Linked DNA regions of Notamacropus eugenii. Each later gene encodes a partner of the first gene's protein in a complex. Links are inferred from orthologs where the notes say so. Each region holds a gene or a part of one and is shown in the gene's direction. Other genes may lie near its edges.

The links. Proteins that work in one complex are often made in the same cells at the same time.
Region 2: STRN3 (region 1) and STK24 share a complex: the UniProt entries of both Homo sapiens proteins name them as parts of the core of STRIPAK complex. The link is inferred for Notamacropus eugenii from reciprocal best matches to the Homo sapiens genes STRN3 and STK24.

What each region holds. Positions count from the first base shown.
Region 1 is NC_092878.1:47,716,084-47,724,026, reverse strand, and holds the start of STRN3 (striatin-3), read left to right. Parts: upstream 1-4,879; 5' UTR 4,880-5,088; coding exon 5,089-5,370; intron 5,371-5,487; exon of another isoform or gene 5,488-5,611; intron 5,612-7,943. UniProt on the Homo sapiens protein: Calmodulin-binding scaffolding protein which is the center of the striatin-interacting phosphatase and kinase (STRIPAK) complexes.
Region 2 is NC_092877.1:228,121,737-228,129,562, forward strand, and holds the start of STK24 (serine/threonine-protein kinase 24), read left to right. Parts: upstream 1-4,766; 5' UTR 4,767-4,799; coding exon 4,800-4,865; intron 4,866-7,826. UniProt on the Homo sapiens protein: Serine/threonine-protein kinase that acts on both serine and threonine residues and promotes apoptosis in response to stress stimuli and caspase activation.

The sequences.
Region 1 (7,943 bases):
CTAGTTGTTGGTCCTAGTTTCTGCCAGACTGCTTTCCAATTTTCTCAAGTTTTCTCAAATAGCAAGTTCCTTCCCAAATAGCTGGTATCTTTGGGTTTATCCAACACTACTAAGTGACTGTGCTCATTTGTTTCTGTGTATCTATTTGTGCTTTTGATTTAGTTTGCTCCTGTCTTCTTTAGAAGCTTGCTCATCACTCTCATCTTCAATGTCTTCCTATCTACTGTCTTCTTCAATGATGCCACATAAACAAGCTCTAGTCTCCTCACTTAAAAAAAGCAAACACCTTTCTTTAAACCTGCTACTCCCTCAAATTATTCTGTCTTTCTCTCCTTCCTTTTACTGCTAAACAACTAGTAAACGTAATGAACGCTGGCTGCCTCCTCTTACTACTTGTTCTCCAAAGTAGCCAATGATCTGGTGGCTAGACTTGATGGGTCATTTCTAAATTAACTCCCTCCTTGATCTTTTTGCAGTTTCTAACAATGTTGACCATTCCCTTCAGGAAAGTGTCTTTTCTCTTGGCTTCTGAAACACTGCTCTTTTCTGGTTCTTTTTCTACTAATCTGACCTTTGCTAGTTAAACTTCTTCTATGCCCTAAGCATCTCCTCCAATGCTTTGTCCTAGGCCCTCTTTATTTTATCTTTAAACTTTTCCCCTTTGTGATCTCACTGGCTCCCATAAGTTTAATTATTACTCTACACTGATGACTCTGACATCTCTATATCCAGACCTGTTTTCTCTACAGAACTCCAGGTCTACATCTCCACTTTCTTATGCATAAATCTGAACAAGCAACTCCCCTGGTGAACAAGACACTGCATCTCTCAGTCCTGGGTATTATCTCTGACTGTCCCCCCATGCTTTAAATGTTCTCCCTCCTCTGCTCTGCTCACCTCCCTTGCCTTCTTTAAGTCCTAACTAAAATCCTACCTTTTATAGGAACCCTTCCCTACTCTCTCTTAATTCCCGTGTCTTCCCTCTCTTTATTATTTCCTGTTTATTCTATACACAAATCGCTTTGCATATATTTGTTTGCTTGTTGTCTCCCCCATTAAATTGCAAGCCCTTTATGGATAAGGACTGTCTTTTGCCCTTTTTTCTATCTCCAGCTCTTAGCACAGTGCCTGGCATATAATAGGTGCTTAAAATATGTTTAATGATTTATTGGTTCCTTGTTTCCTCTAGAATAAAATACAAACTCCTTAGGTTGGCATTTAATAACCTAGTAAGTCACAGCTACAATCTTACTTTCTACAGGAAGCCTTTCCTAATCTCTCTTAAGATAAGTGTTTTCTATTGATTATTTCCAATTTATCCCGCATGTAGCTTGTCTGTTTGCATCCTGGGCCATCTCCAGTTGTCCTGATAAATATCAGGCCACTGTAACCAGATGGCTCAGGAGAAGAAAGAGAGGTTGTTGATTTTGCACAGCCCTCCCTCATTCAAATCAAAGTCAACTGCAAGTCATGTCATCATCTTAATATCATGGTCCTCTTCGAGAAGGAAGACAAACACAACCTGTGAATAACAGCTCCTCTCCTTTCCTCTCCTCTGGTGTTCTACCTAGGGGAAGGTACACTCCATGGCCAAAAGTTGCTTTTTTTTCTTTTGGTTTATGGCTACATTTCTTGCTTAAAGATCAAGCCTTAAATTCAATTCACTCTGGAGCTCGTAGACTAGACAAGTCTCTACCCACCTAGTATAAAGCGAATGTAATAACTAAATAGTAATTGTTTCTCTTTTACCTAGGAACCCGGAGGGTCTTCCCCTCCCAGCTTGATTTTTTTTTTAAAAATTAAATCAGTCATCCCTTGAGTAACATAAAGAAGCCTATTCATTGAACAGGTGAATCTCACTCAAAGTGAGAATGTGATAAGACCTAAGCCTGAAAGGGCCAGGGTCTCACATTGCATCCTGGGTCATCTCCAGTTGGCTCAGAAGAAAGTGAGTTTGGTGACCTTGTGTAACCCTTCCTCACTCAAATCAAAGTCAGCTGCAAGTCATGTCATCATCTTGATGTCATGGTCCTCTTTGAGAACGAAGGACAAACACAACAACCTCCCTCACTGGATTGCGAGCTCCTCAAGAGCAGAGAATGTCTTTTACCTGTCTTTCTATTCCCAGTGTTTACTCACTGACTGTATTCTATGCACCAATCAAACTGGGCTCCTAACTATTCCCCAGATGATATGCCATCTTCGGCCTTTATGATTTTGCATAAATTATCCTCCTGGGAAGGCATTCCCCCTTCAGCTGTCCCTCTCAAGATCCCAGTCTTGGTTCAAGACTCATTTTAGGTGTCACCCTCTCCTTCCATGAATTACACTCCCAACAACCTCAAGCTAAAAATGCTCCATCTCTTCTCAGTTATTCCTAGAGCACTTTTTTTGAGATCTCTCCTTTACCCCCAAAACTAATGTTGTATTTATAGATGTATATGACTTATTCCACCCACCCCAGGAAAGGAGAATTTTGTTTCTGTCTTTGTATCCTTAGATATGCACCTAACACTGTGTTTTATGCCTCTTCCTCTCTCTCATGTTTCTTTTCATCTTCCAGACTAAACACCCTTCATTCTTTAATCCATTCTTTTTTGGAAGGCACTTAAACTCAAAGGAGAAGTACTCTAATTCTCACAAAAAGATTATTTACTCTAGATTTGTGGACACTTCTAAAAATAATGGTTATCTGGTTTCCCAGCCCGTAACAGATTGAAAGCAGCAAAGGGAAAGCAGGGTCAGAGAACATTCTGGAGAAGGGAAGACTTTCGTTGATGACTTGTTTTTCATTGAGGTTGGACTCTCTGTGATCCCATTTGATGTTTTCCTGGCAAAGGCACTGGCGTGGTTTGCCATTTCCTTCTCCACCTCGTTTTATAGATGAATAAACTGAGGCAAACAAGGTTAAGTGACTTGCTCAGGAACACCCAGCTAGTAAGTGTCTGAGCCCAGATCTGAACTCAGGAAGATGAGTCTTCCTTATTCCAAGGCCCTGGGCTCTATTCACTGTGACACATAGCTGCTCTTAAGACCTTTATCCACTCGATCATTTTTTCTTTACCTGATATGGTGTGCTGCCCTGTACCATTTTGTTTATCCCCCTTTGAACAAGAAAAAATGTGGTCAAGGTCCATTTGATGATGTAGCCATAAAACTAAATGCAGTACTCCAAGCAAAACAAGCATATCAGAGATTCTGTTCTAGTCTTCAAATTCACGTTAACAAATTACTTGTCTCCACGCTGCAGAAAATTGGCAAAGCACTTAAATATAAGCAAATTTCAAGGATACGGGGCAAAGTACATTTAATTTCCCAGAGAACAGTTGGGAGGGGAAATTTAAAAAGGTTACACAATCTGAGATCATACAAGCCTTGAAAAGTACCTGAAATTCTTACTTTTAGAAATTCATTCCCAAAATTTACAGATTTCTTTACACAAGCAAATTATCCTTCAGGGGCTAACACAGTAAAGAAGTCATTGCAATATCAAACATTTACTTTAATAAATTTATCAGAGATAGTAAGCCAGTTACTTGGGGAGACCCATAAAATAGATTTTGGCTAGGGTGTGGCTGGAGAAGAAAGGAAGGGACACAAAAATGAGGAACAGGAAGCCTGAGGAAGTTGGAAAGAAGCACTGGATTCAGAGCAAGCCAACTTGGGATTAAGCCCAAACGGACCTTCGCTATTTACTATGCGTAACTATGGACAAGTCAGGCCTTGTGGGCCTCAGTTTGTACATCTGTAAAACGGAAGCTTTGGGACTGCGTGACCTGAGGTCTCTTCCAGTCTGAAATCCTATTTTAAAATGGGGACTGATAAACCTTATGCCAGGTGATGGGGATACAAAAGAGGCAAAGAGACTCTAGGGAGGTGGTTGGAAGGGAACTCTCCCATGGAAGCTACAACCCCAGGAACAACCTTATCCGCCGTATTTAACGGAACAGGTCTTCGCAGCCCGGGGGAGAAGCGCGGCCCCCTCCCCGCCCCGACGTCCGCAGCCCAGTCTGGGAAGCAGTGCCAGCGAGGGCAGGGGGCAGCGCTGAGGGCACGTCCGACGCCGTCCTGGGCACCCCAGGCGAAGAGGGAAGGAGAAAGGGAAACTTCCCCCCTCCCACGGGCCGCACACGGGCCGGTCACCCTCAGCACGCTCTTCCAGACCAGACCGCAGCAAAGTGTGGCCCTCCCCCACAGAGCCGGAGCCGCGGTCCGGCCGAAGTCCAGCGTGGGAAGAACCAAAGCGGGCTCCGGGTCAGCCGCGGAGCCTGAGTTACTACCAGAACGGAGAAGAGGCCGGCACGGGCCAAGAACCGAGGAAGAGGGAGTGACAGACAGACAGACGCGGAGGGGCGGCGGGAACCACGCAAGGAATGCCAAAGAAATGCGAGGAATGCGGCGCCGGAACAGCAGAACCGGCTCCAATCCGGCCCTGGCGGCGGCCTCCCCGCTCGTCCCGCGGCGCTGGGTGCGGGGATACAGCCGGGCGGGACGAGCTTACTCGGGAAGGTAGCAAAGAGGAAAGTCCTGCGGTCCAGATTAAGTCAGAAGAGGAGCCACCGAGTCCAGCCCGGGCAGCCCAGCCAGCCCAGCCCGGGCAGCCCAGCCCGGGAGCCGAGCTGCTGTGGGCGGGGGAGGGGGACGCCCCCACGGCTCCTCCCACCTCGCGTCTTGGCCCCTCCCTTCCTCAGTGCGCTTGCGCAACGGTGGAGCCCGACTCTATTTGGCTATAAGATTTGCGGCAGCGGCACCAGCGTCGCTTACCCAGCATGCCGCGCGGGGGCGACGGCTGTACGACTACCCCTTTCCCTCCCCCGTCCCCCCACGTTACCCTCCTTTCCCCCTCCCCTCCGCCCCCCCTCCCTCCAGTGAGTGAGTGAGACGGGCAGATGGAGGAGGGACTGTAATGGCGGCGGCCGGCAGCTCCCTGCTCTGACCCGCGGCAGACACTTAGCAACGACCCCCTCCCCGCCCCTCTCCCCGCGGGCCGCCGCCCAGCCGCCCGCGCGGGGCCACCTTCCTCCTCCTTCCCCCCCGCCCCCGGCCGTCCGCGTTTCCCCCCGCGCCCCGGCCGGGGCCCCTCACACAATGGATGAGCTCCCGGGAGGCGGCGGCGGCGGCGGCGGCCCGGGGATGGCAGCCCCTCGGCAGCAGCAGCAGGGGCCGGGGGTCAACATGAACCTGCAGCCGGGAGTCGGCGGCGGCGCGGCTCAGCCGGCGGCGGCGGAGGGCGCGGGCCCCTCGGCGGGCCCGGAGCTGTCCCGGCCGCAGCAGTACACGATCCCGGGCATCCTGCACTACATCCAGCACGAGTGGGCGCGCTTCGAGATGGAGCGGGCGCACTGGGAAGTGGAGCGGGCCGAACTGCAGGTAGCCGGTCGCGGGACCCCGGGGTGGGGAGGACGGCGGGACCTCGACGGGAGGGTGGAGGGGGTGGGGCCCGCGCGGGGATCCCGGGCCCGAGGGCACCGGCTGGGCGAGACGTACCTTGGGGGCCCGGGCCGAGGAGGAGCGGCGGCGGCGGCGGCGGCGGCAGGTCCCGGCAGGGGTCCCCTCCCCCTCCTCCCTCCCGCGGCGGGAAGCCTTCTCGGCGGCCCTCACTGGCTGCGCGATGCGGGCTTCCTCGGGGCAGCCATTTTGGTTTCTAGTATGGCGTCCGCCGGGGCTTCTCCGGCGGCTGCGGCGGCGCCGGCCCGACCTGGGGAGCCGTGGCCCCGGGACGATCCCTCCGCCGAACCCCCGGGGGTGGGGGGAGGGAGGCTGGCGGCGGGACGCGCGCGCGACGGCTGCCCTCAGCCCTTCCCCCCCTCGGGTCAGACACCCCGGCCCGGATCGTGCCGGACTCTTCCTCCTCCCCTTTTCTCCTCCTCCCAGCAGGTCCTCCCCCCGCCCCCCACCTGCCCTTTGACAGCTGCCCTCCCCGGAGCATCCCCGCTCCCTCCGAAAAGGATCTGAAGTTTGCTCTGCGCGCGGCCGAACTTGGCTTGGGGGGCCCGGTCACCTAGGTGGTGTCCCCTCCCCCCTCTCCCTTTGGGTCCCTAACGTGCCCCAACTTCGGGCCAACTCTTGAACTCTCGGATGATGAATAATTCTTAAGTTTGCTTCACTTATCCCTGAGTCCCAAGCAGTCACTTCCTTCTGTCTGCTGCTTGGTGTTAGGAAACAGAGGAAAGGGCAGATTGGACTTAAATCGGGCTGGAATAAAGAACAGTTATTTGCATATTTCAAACTCCCTTTTGGGGGAGGAAATGGAAAATGAAGTATGCCTCACCCTGAAAAATGGGAAGAACACGAGTGTATAGGCTTTTGCAGCAGAATAGGAGCTTGGATTTAAGAACCTATTGTTGGTGTATCTGTTGGGAAAGAATGTTTTAGTGGACAGTACCAACGTGTTTATTTTTAATCCCTTTCCAAGGCAAATTTAGGACTGGGAGGTGGGGTTGGACAGCGTCTCTGCTACAAAGTATTGCACCTGTTTTGTTTTTTTGATACAATGTTGCGTGCAATATTGTAGTTCGGTGTACGTGTGCACGCTAAGTAGTTACGGAAAGATAATATGGAGGGGAAACTACCTATTTAAAAAGATTTCATCTCACATGTCTTAATCAGGCCAGTAACGTTTTGGAGTCAATAGGGTTTTTTTTTCCTTTGGTCTTATAAATAGTGAAGTCACAAAATGAGGTTAATGATTTTTTTTTAAAGTGAAAATTATAATTTTGCTTTGGAAATTGTCTTTATCAAGCCTTAGAAAATAAGATTATGAGATTAATTCGATTCCTGTCAGCTTTTTTTTTTTTAAACATTTGTGGATTTTATCTCTTATTTTATAGTATTGGACTTTAAAAACATGAAATTTTTAAAAAGTGTTTTTATGTAAACAGTGCTTTCTGCCTTTTATACTTTGGGGTATAATGATACATGGTATATTGTGCATTTTAAATGACTTGCTGAAAGTTTGTAGTGGCCTGCAGATAGTGTTATATACTGTCTACTACACAGTTACCCATGTAAGTGGACTAATCATTTAGAAAAGGGTTTTTAAAAAGCATCTGTGTTGGAAATTGAATTTATTTCATTATACGAGTGTTGTCCATAATAATGTTGTCCATAAGTACGTAATAAAAATTTGTGCAGTGTGGTTGATCGGTTTGAAACGGCATTAGGAAGAATTATTAGGTATGATCATTTGTCCTATTTTTTTGTTGGTGGTTTTGAAATGCAGTAATGCAGTCTAAATGTTGATGACTGGTGTATTTTATATGGAATCAAGCCTGGGATTTGTATTTTAGGACTTTTCTAAATAAGAATTTCATCAGTCACTCTTAAACTGTAGTGTAACACAAGCAAAAGAGATGTTACTGGTTTACTAGTGGAGTTGTTAGTGATGTTAATCCTATGATATCTATTTTGACCTTGCCTTTTCTATCCTTTCTCCTTCTGAAACTCCTTTTCCCCTGCAGCAACCTATCTATGCTTGCCTGTTCTGGGAAAGTCTTGTCCATGTTCTCTTGAAAATCTTCCACAAAAGATGGTTCTAATCTATTTATCTTGGGGACGATCCTCTAGAATTCTTCACATTACTAAGTCACTGGGATCCTGGGTGCTCATTATTAGTTATCCATACTCTTGCTAGTGACAATCCTTTTTTTTTTTCTCTAAAGTCTGATAAACTGTTTCTCTTGTGTAGCTCACACCCACTGTGTGCCTCTATTTGCCTCTAACACTTCAGAAATCCTAGTACAATGCAAAGAGCAGAGGATTTGTAGTCAGACAAGCTGAGTTCGAATTCTAGTTCACAGTTAATGTGAACCCACCCAAGTCACAGAACCTCTCTGAGACTTAGTTTCTTTCCACTTCTATAAAAATATAAGGGGTTTGAACTGGATTACTTTTAAAGTTGCTGCCAGCTGTATCTGTGATTCATCTGTGATCACATATGTGTG
Region 2 (7,826 bases), on another chromosome or scaffold:
CCATTCTCATGGTCTACATTGTAGCTAGAGTGTATAACTCTCCATTTCCTGTTCTAGCCCAGTTCTTTTCCATCTCTGCTCATTTGTATTTACTCCATTCATTGAACCTGGAATATATACTTTAATTTCCCCAACCCCCAATTCCCAATTTCTTAAAACTCCCTCCCATCTCCCAGGGTCCAAATCAGGTACTGCCTTTCTTCATGCCAATCCCAGTCCACCCAACTAGAAATGGTTTCTTTCTCATCAGATTTTTGATGGTACTTTGTGGGAAGCTTTACATTTTCATATTCTGCCTAGTATGGTTAAATTAATGTCATGTCTCATGTAAGACTAAAAGCAGATGTGTTCCCAAGACATCGTCTAACTTTTTGTATTTCCAGAGCCTCACACAGTGCCTGGCACATAGTAAGTGCTTCATAAATACTTGTTAATGGAAGCAAAGGGACTTTTTTTCTCACAAAAAGGACAGCATTACTAATTCAACTTATGGCTCCATTTATGAATCTGATATCATAATTTCACACTGAACTCCCAAACCCTTTGGCTTTTATTCTTGAAAGATAACAGATCAGGAAAAGAACAAGATTAGGGGATGACTTCAATATTATTTGTGGGATTAACCACGTAGCTTGATATAGTAAAAAGAGCACTGCATTTGGAATCAGGAGGTTTTGCCATTAACTAGGCTGAGTGAGTAATTTAACCTTTCTGGGCTTCAGTTGTCTGCTGGCAAAATGAAGGTGTTAGATTAGATGGACCCTGAGGTCTTTTCCAGCTCTAATTCTATGATCTTGTTTCTTCATAGAAAGTGGAATCTAATCTACAGAAGAGTTAAGGCCTTCAACCTGAATCTGAGCTAGAAAAGACCCTCAAGTCTAATTTCCTCATTTTACAACTGAAAACACTGAGGTCCAGAAAAGTTGTGACTTTTTCAAGGTTACCTAGAGCATTAGAGAAGCCACTTCTCATTTCCCTTTGTGCAGCACTCTAAGGGAGATATTACAGCAGGAGCTGATGGAGAAATAGGCAAGGAAATCTTTGCCCCTGATTGAATAGTAAATAGTGTTGTTTCAGCCAAAGTGAGACCAAAGAGAAGTTTCAGGACCTACTGGTTATTCCACTTTTGAAAGGAAGGGAGGGAGGGAGGAAGGGGGAAAGAAATGGAGGAAGGGAGGGAGAAAGGAATAAAGTTCTTTTGACTTATTTTCCTGTTGGCTGCTGGAGCCTATTTCACACACAAAAAGATGGCTAAATGGTTCAGGGCCGTGGGACTGCGAGTAAGAACGGATCATAAAGGCGGAAAGGATTTTAGAAACAATCTAACCTAAGAGGTGGAAAGGATTTTAGAAACAATCTAACCTAAGAGGTGGAAAGGATTTTAGAAACAATGTAACTTAATTCCCTCTTTTTACAGATTCAGGACCCAGGATCACACAGGTAGGAAATCCCCAAGCTGGGATTCCAACCAAGGTGCTATGATGCCATATCCAGCACCTCCTTTCTTCCCCAGAAACTCCTGAGCGTGGGTTAAATTAGGAATGGGATGACATAGGAGCCAAATCAGAGTATTAGCGGGCAGTGTGGTGCAGAGGACAGACATGAGGCTTGGCGTCAGAAGTTCTGGCGTCCCTGGCTACTGAGACCAAGGGAAGTTACTGAAAGATCTTTGTATGAGGGGGGAAGGAATACCATATTTGCGTTACCACCTGGCAGAGCCGCCCAGGGTAAAGCGTTTTGGACTTTGCTAAGAGCTCTACACGCAAGAGCTCACTATTCTTTCTTGGTTCCCTGGTTCCCACGCCCGTGGGGTGGACTCGTTCGCCTGGGTTCGGGGCTCGGAGACGAAGGAATCCAGCCACGTCCCTTGTCATTTGTCGGTAGCTGGGGTGCCTGCGGGGCTCAATGCTCCCAAGCCGTGGTCATGGACTTTCCAGCACTCCAGTCCCCTGGAGAGCCCTCCTCCATTCCTCCTCTGTCCGGGCTGGGAAGTCCGTGGGCCGTGGGAGCACCCACTGGCTCCTCTCCCCATTGTTTCCAGCTGCCTCCCCTCCCCCGCTCTGCCTCCAGGACTCGTTCGGAGGGGCCGGGGAAGGACTATTGATTTCCACCGGGAGGGCTTCTTTTAGCCCGAGTAGTGACAGCGTGACAGCGGAGGAGCAGGAGGGGAAAGGTGAGGACGCGAGGGAGTTCTGAGAGGGGGCCCTCCCCCTGGCCGGCTTCGGTTACCGTCCCTTGGGTACTCCGGCCAGGGGAGGACTGGGGACTGGATGCCCAACCCTCGCGGCCAGCCCCAGTTCCTGGTGCCCCAGACCGCGGAGATCGCTCCCCGCCACCCCACTTCCTGGCCCTCCCCCCGCCCCGGCCTTGGGGGAGGGGTAGGCTGACCCCGCCGCCGCCGCGTCGCCCCTTCCCCGCCCTCTCCGTCCGCTCCCGCAGCCCAATCAGCGTCGGCGGCGGCCGCGAGGACTCCTCCCCTCCCAGGAGCCCGCCCCCGCCCCCGCCCGAGGCCCCGGAAGGTGCGGAGCTCTCGCGGCTGCGGACTCGGGTTTGCCGGGGCCGGCTGTCTGTCGGAGGCCGCCTCCTTCTCCCGGAAACACCGGGCGGGGAGGGGGGATCCCACACCCCGGGGCCGGCCGGGGGGAGGGGGAGGAGGAGGGGGCGGAGGCTGGGGCGGGGGCGGGGGCTGCTGCTGCTGCCCTGGGCGGGGCGGACACGGCTCCTGGCTGGGTGTGCGTGGGGAGTCGCCGAGCGTCCCGCGGCCGCCCCGGAGAGTCCGGAAGGAGCCGCCGCCGCCGCCGCCGCCGCCGCTGCCTCTGCCTCTGCCTGCCCGGGAGGAGGAGGAAGAAGAGGAGGAGGCGCTGCCGCTCGGCCGTCGTGCATGGAGACTGCGCGGCCCACCACCAGCCGCTGATCCCCGAGCCCCCGGCGCCCCGGCCGGGACGAGCGTGGGGGTGCCGGGCCGGGCAGGCCGCCGCTGCCGCCCGCCCGTCCTGCTCCTCGTCCGATCCGCCCGCCGCCGCCGCCGTCGCCGCGGGGAAGGGGCCCGGCCCGGTCGGTCCGGAGCGGCGGCGCAGCCATGGCTCACTCGCCCGTGCAGCCGGGCCTGCCCGGGATGCAGGTGAGAGCGGCGGGGAGCGGGCGTGCGAGAGTGTGGTAGAGGGAATCGTGCGGGAAGGAGCGGGCGTGAGTGCGTGCCTGAGTTTGTGGCAGTGCCAGGGTGCGATGGTGTGACTGTGTGAGTTTGTGGGAATGTGAGGAACTTCTCCCGGTAAACAGAACCCCCCAAGCCGCCAGCTCCGCTCACCCTTCCGGGAGGGGGTGCGCCGGCGAGGCTGCCTCCGCCCCCCGGGCCCGGGGAGGGCGAGGTCTCGGGGGCTCCGTGCACCCGGACACGCCGCCTGCTCTAGGAAGGAGGGAGGAGGAAGTGGAGGAGAAGAGGGTCCTGCAGACCTTCCCCGCCGCGGGCGGGGGAGCTGTGGGCGTGAACGTGGCCCTGGCCGGGTGGAGAGGCCGCCCCGGCCTCCAGGGAGGGACTCTGCCCCGCCGAGGCTTTCCTCCTCTTCCCTCTAAGCTCCCGGCTCCGGGGAGGAGTGATGCCCCCCTTTACTGTGGGTCTCGAGGTGTTCTAGGCCGAAGGGGGGAAATGAGGGTAGAGGTTGGAGAAGCCCCCTTGGGGCAGCCCCTGGGCAGAGGGCGGAGGGGGAGGGAGAAAGCGGAGCCGAGCAGGTCCGGACTGGTGCGGCGGGCCGGGCCAGGAGCCCGGGAAGGCGGGGTGCCGGGGGGCGGGGGGTGCTTTTTAAAACCAGCTTTGCAGGCAGAGCTTTTCCAGTATCCAACTTGGAGGAGCTTGTTGTGGAGCCACGGGGGGAGGGAAGCCCAAGGGGACCCTCTGGGACAAATCCGCTTCCACAAGACCCCGGAGAGGAGAGAGGAGGCAGGAGGCGATCCCTGCCGTGGATACAATGTTACTCGCCTCCCCTCCTCGCCTCGGACGCCCCTCAGCAGATTCCAGGACACCATATTTTTTTTTTTTAGTTTGACTTCCTGTTTTCATGGGGTATCGCTTAGCTACCCCTCCGAACTTTATGTCGATACTTTCCAGCATCGTGACCAAAAAGTACGTTTTTTGGAGCAGTTTTTGTCTGGTTGTGAACATTTTTTTGGCCTTTTGACATACAGTGTTTTCCAAAATCTTACTGCAGTTTCAAACTGTACCAAGACTTTTGGGACGCCCTTTATAGTGTCCTCATACCTTTATAAGTTGATGCTATTTTAAATAGCTTCAGAATTATTAGGATATAAAATCTACATCACCGCTCTCCACATATAGACACAAAATATCTTTGTTTTTTTACTATATCAAAGTAATATGTACATGGTGTAATTTTTTCTTAAAATTAACCAACATGGCTTTACAGGTTTACGTAAATAATCTTGGTGACCAGTCTTTTGGGATTCATCCCTGTTCTAAGCAATTTGATGACTTCTGGTCAATAATCTTTCATCTGGCTAGAGAACAACCCCCATGGCACTCTGTACCTTTCTTAGGGGCTTAACATTTTTTCCCTTATGCTTTAGGTTATTTGTGTAATGAACTTAATCTTATTACGTTGTGAGTTTGCTATGGGAAGGCCTAGGCCTTAGGTCAGGAGGATGTCAACTTGTTATAAAAAATATTTTGACAACAATTTTAATATAATTTATTTCCTTTGTAATTCTATGCTGTTGGATTCTTTTTTTTTTCATTTAAAAACATTTTTCTGACAAGGCTTCTTTAGGTTTCACCGGACTGCCAAATGGCAAAAAAAAAAACCAAAACAAAACTCCTCTTGGTAGAAGAAAGAGACCTGATTTTGCGAATGGTAAATCTGAGTTTAAACTTTAATTTTGATACTTAATAGCTGAGTAAGTCATTTAAATTCTTTGGGTCTCAGTTTCTTTATCTGTCAAATCAGAATAAAAATGATGTTTGCTATTTATTTCTCTTGGTACTTGTGAGAAAAACACTTTGAGAACATTAAGGTGTATAACTGTCACTTCTGTCACCATTTCTAAGAACTGTGCCTTGCGTATTAAGGTGCACAGTAAATTTTTGTTGAATTGAGTAAATGGCATTCTTCAAAGTTTTTTTTTAAAGGAAATTAAAAGCCTCATCTCATGAGAGATGCTTTCGTTTTAGGAATTTCAGATTTTTATAAACTTGTACGTGCAATTGAGGATGGCAGCTGCATTTTCAGTTATGTTTTAGCTATGTGCTCTTAGAAATATTAAAGTGAAGGTGGTGATAGTGGATGTTGTGAAATGGGCTTTGAAACTCATGATTCAATGAAATAAAGTAATTATGCTGTTGCAACTAAATAAATAATTAAAAGTGGCTTTTAAAAAATGTTGGTAAAACTCTGTAGTAAAAAAAGAAATCAGTCTCTTGTATATTTGATTTAATTTTGAAAGGTGGCATTGAATGTTACCTAACCAGTGAAACAAGAATGGCATCTTGTAATAAAATTGATCAAGAGGCATTTCGTGTTGACTGGTTTCTCTGTGGCAGTGTCAGAAACCAGACCATCTCCGAACCAATTTTCTCAGATACTTAGGAATTAGATAAGTGGTAAAAGTGGCCCATTTATGTATTAAGTGCTAGATACTAGGGTTTTGTTTGCACAAAGTGGATTGTAATAGGAAATAACTTCTTAGAGACTTGTATACATTGGGGCTTCTAAGTCAGTATAAAATTGTGGGAATCATTTGGGTATCCAGTATCAGCAACTGCTTAAGAGGGATACATTGGTTAAGTATTTTTTTAAAGTGGAAAAAAAAATTTCTTGCCTTGTGTCTTAAGAGCAAACAAGTATACTTTTCTTGGTAACTGTATAGTGAAAAAATTTGTTTTGGGCTTTTGGAAAAAAAAGACTTGAAAAAAATGTCTTGACAGGAAAGTTATCCCAATTTTGCCATGTTCCTAGTGAGTTTAGGGTTGCCAGTGTGATATGAAGGCATCATCTGTGTGCCTTAGAATTTGTTGATACTTCTTACTCTATTTTGGGAAGAAAATAGTAAAATGTTTTCTCTTCATAGTTGGCCCCTTTAGTTTCCCACCATCAACTTTTTCCCCCAATTGAATCAACAACTCCTTAGAAGCTTCATTAAGGAGAGCTAATTTTTTTTTAATAGTCTGGGGAAGTAGATGGTTAAATTAAAGGAGTAGCTGGCAACTTGCCATTACCCAGGCTAGTCTACAATCCTCTATACTACCTATGAGGACTCTCTTCTTCCCCCCCATCTCTATCCTCTGACTAGACTTTGGGTGTAAGGTTTTGGTATAAACTATAGGTAAAAGGAAGAGGAGTAGGTTATTCTTATATTAATTCATTTTGGTCCAGAATTACCCATGGTCTAAACCTGAAATTTGAAAAGTGTGCAATACTAAACACTCCAATTTATTTGCAACATATCTCTATGCAATATTTCTTTTAAAAATGCAATTAAAATACTAAGTGTCTACTGTGATCATTGTACTGTGGGATACAATGATAGGGCAAAAGGGACATAACTTTCTTTTAGATTGTAAACTCTTTGAGGGTTAGAGCCAAATACACAAAGAACTAAGTGTAGCTATACTAAACTATATCACAGCTATGAGCTGTACTTTATTACCGTTATATAGGCTGTGATAAATGCATTGGAGAGGTCAGAAGATTCTGGTAATTGCTACTTTCTGAGGAAATCAGTAAGATTTTTTTGAAGGAAGTGGCATCTGAGCTAGATCTTAGGGAGAAAAGAAAGGCAGACATATGCAAATGAACCACTGTAGGAATAGGGGATAGATGCAGGTTCTATTCCGTTAAGCCAGCCCCTTTGTTAACTACAAAGGTTGTAGAATTCAAGAATGCTATTGGAGAACAGCCAGTAATCCAGTTTGGCCGGAACATAGAGTGCGTTAAGGTCAATAATGTGAAATAAGTGTAGGGTAGTGGAAAGAGTCCCGACATTGGAAGCAGAGAAACCTGTGTTACTTGGACATTAAGGAGCTTTGTAGCCATGAAAAAAATCACTTAGCCTCTCTCAGCTTCAGTTTTCTCATTGTAAAGTGGAGTGATAGTCATATTTCCTACTTAACAAGCTTGTTAGTATCCAGTGAGCGACTGTAGAGAAAGCATTATAAACCTTAAATCTCTCTATAAATGGAAGCTGTCATTATTAAATAATGCTAAAGAGTTAGGTTGCATGTTAGTGTAAGGAGTTTGAGTATGTTTAACGAGGAGACATGAAAGTCTTTGAATCAGGGGAGTGGGGAGGATGATTCTGACCTTGGAATTTTGAAGATGATTTTGACAGCAGAAGATGGGATTTGGAGAGGGGAGATTTCCCTACTGGGAGACAGAACAGTTGAAAGGCTGCTCCATTAGTCCAGGTGAGAAGTATCGAGTACCTTAATCATGGTGGTGTTCAGAGTGACTAGGAAGTGGATGTAAAAAAAAAGTTCCAGAAGTAGAATCAGATAAAACTTAGCAATTTAGTTCAACCGTATTTATTTAGTACCTACTGTGATACAAAGACAAAAATGAAGCAGTTTCTACCCTTAAAGAACTTAGGTTCTATGACAGTACAACATGTGCATGGTTAAGTAAGTACCCCCAAAATGAAGTAGTACAGAGCAGTTACACGAGATTGAAAACACTAATATTTGGGGGCTGAATGGGTGGAGGGAGGACCAGGAAAATCCTTGAATGGGAAGTGGCACCCGAATTATGCTTTTTAGGAAGCTAGGGATTCTAAGAGATGCAGTCCAGTCCAGATATGGAGGACAGACAGAGTTAGAAAGT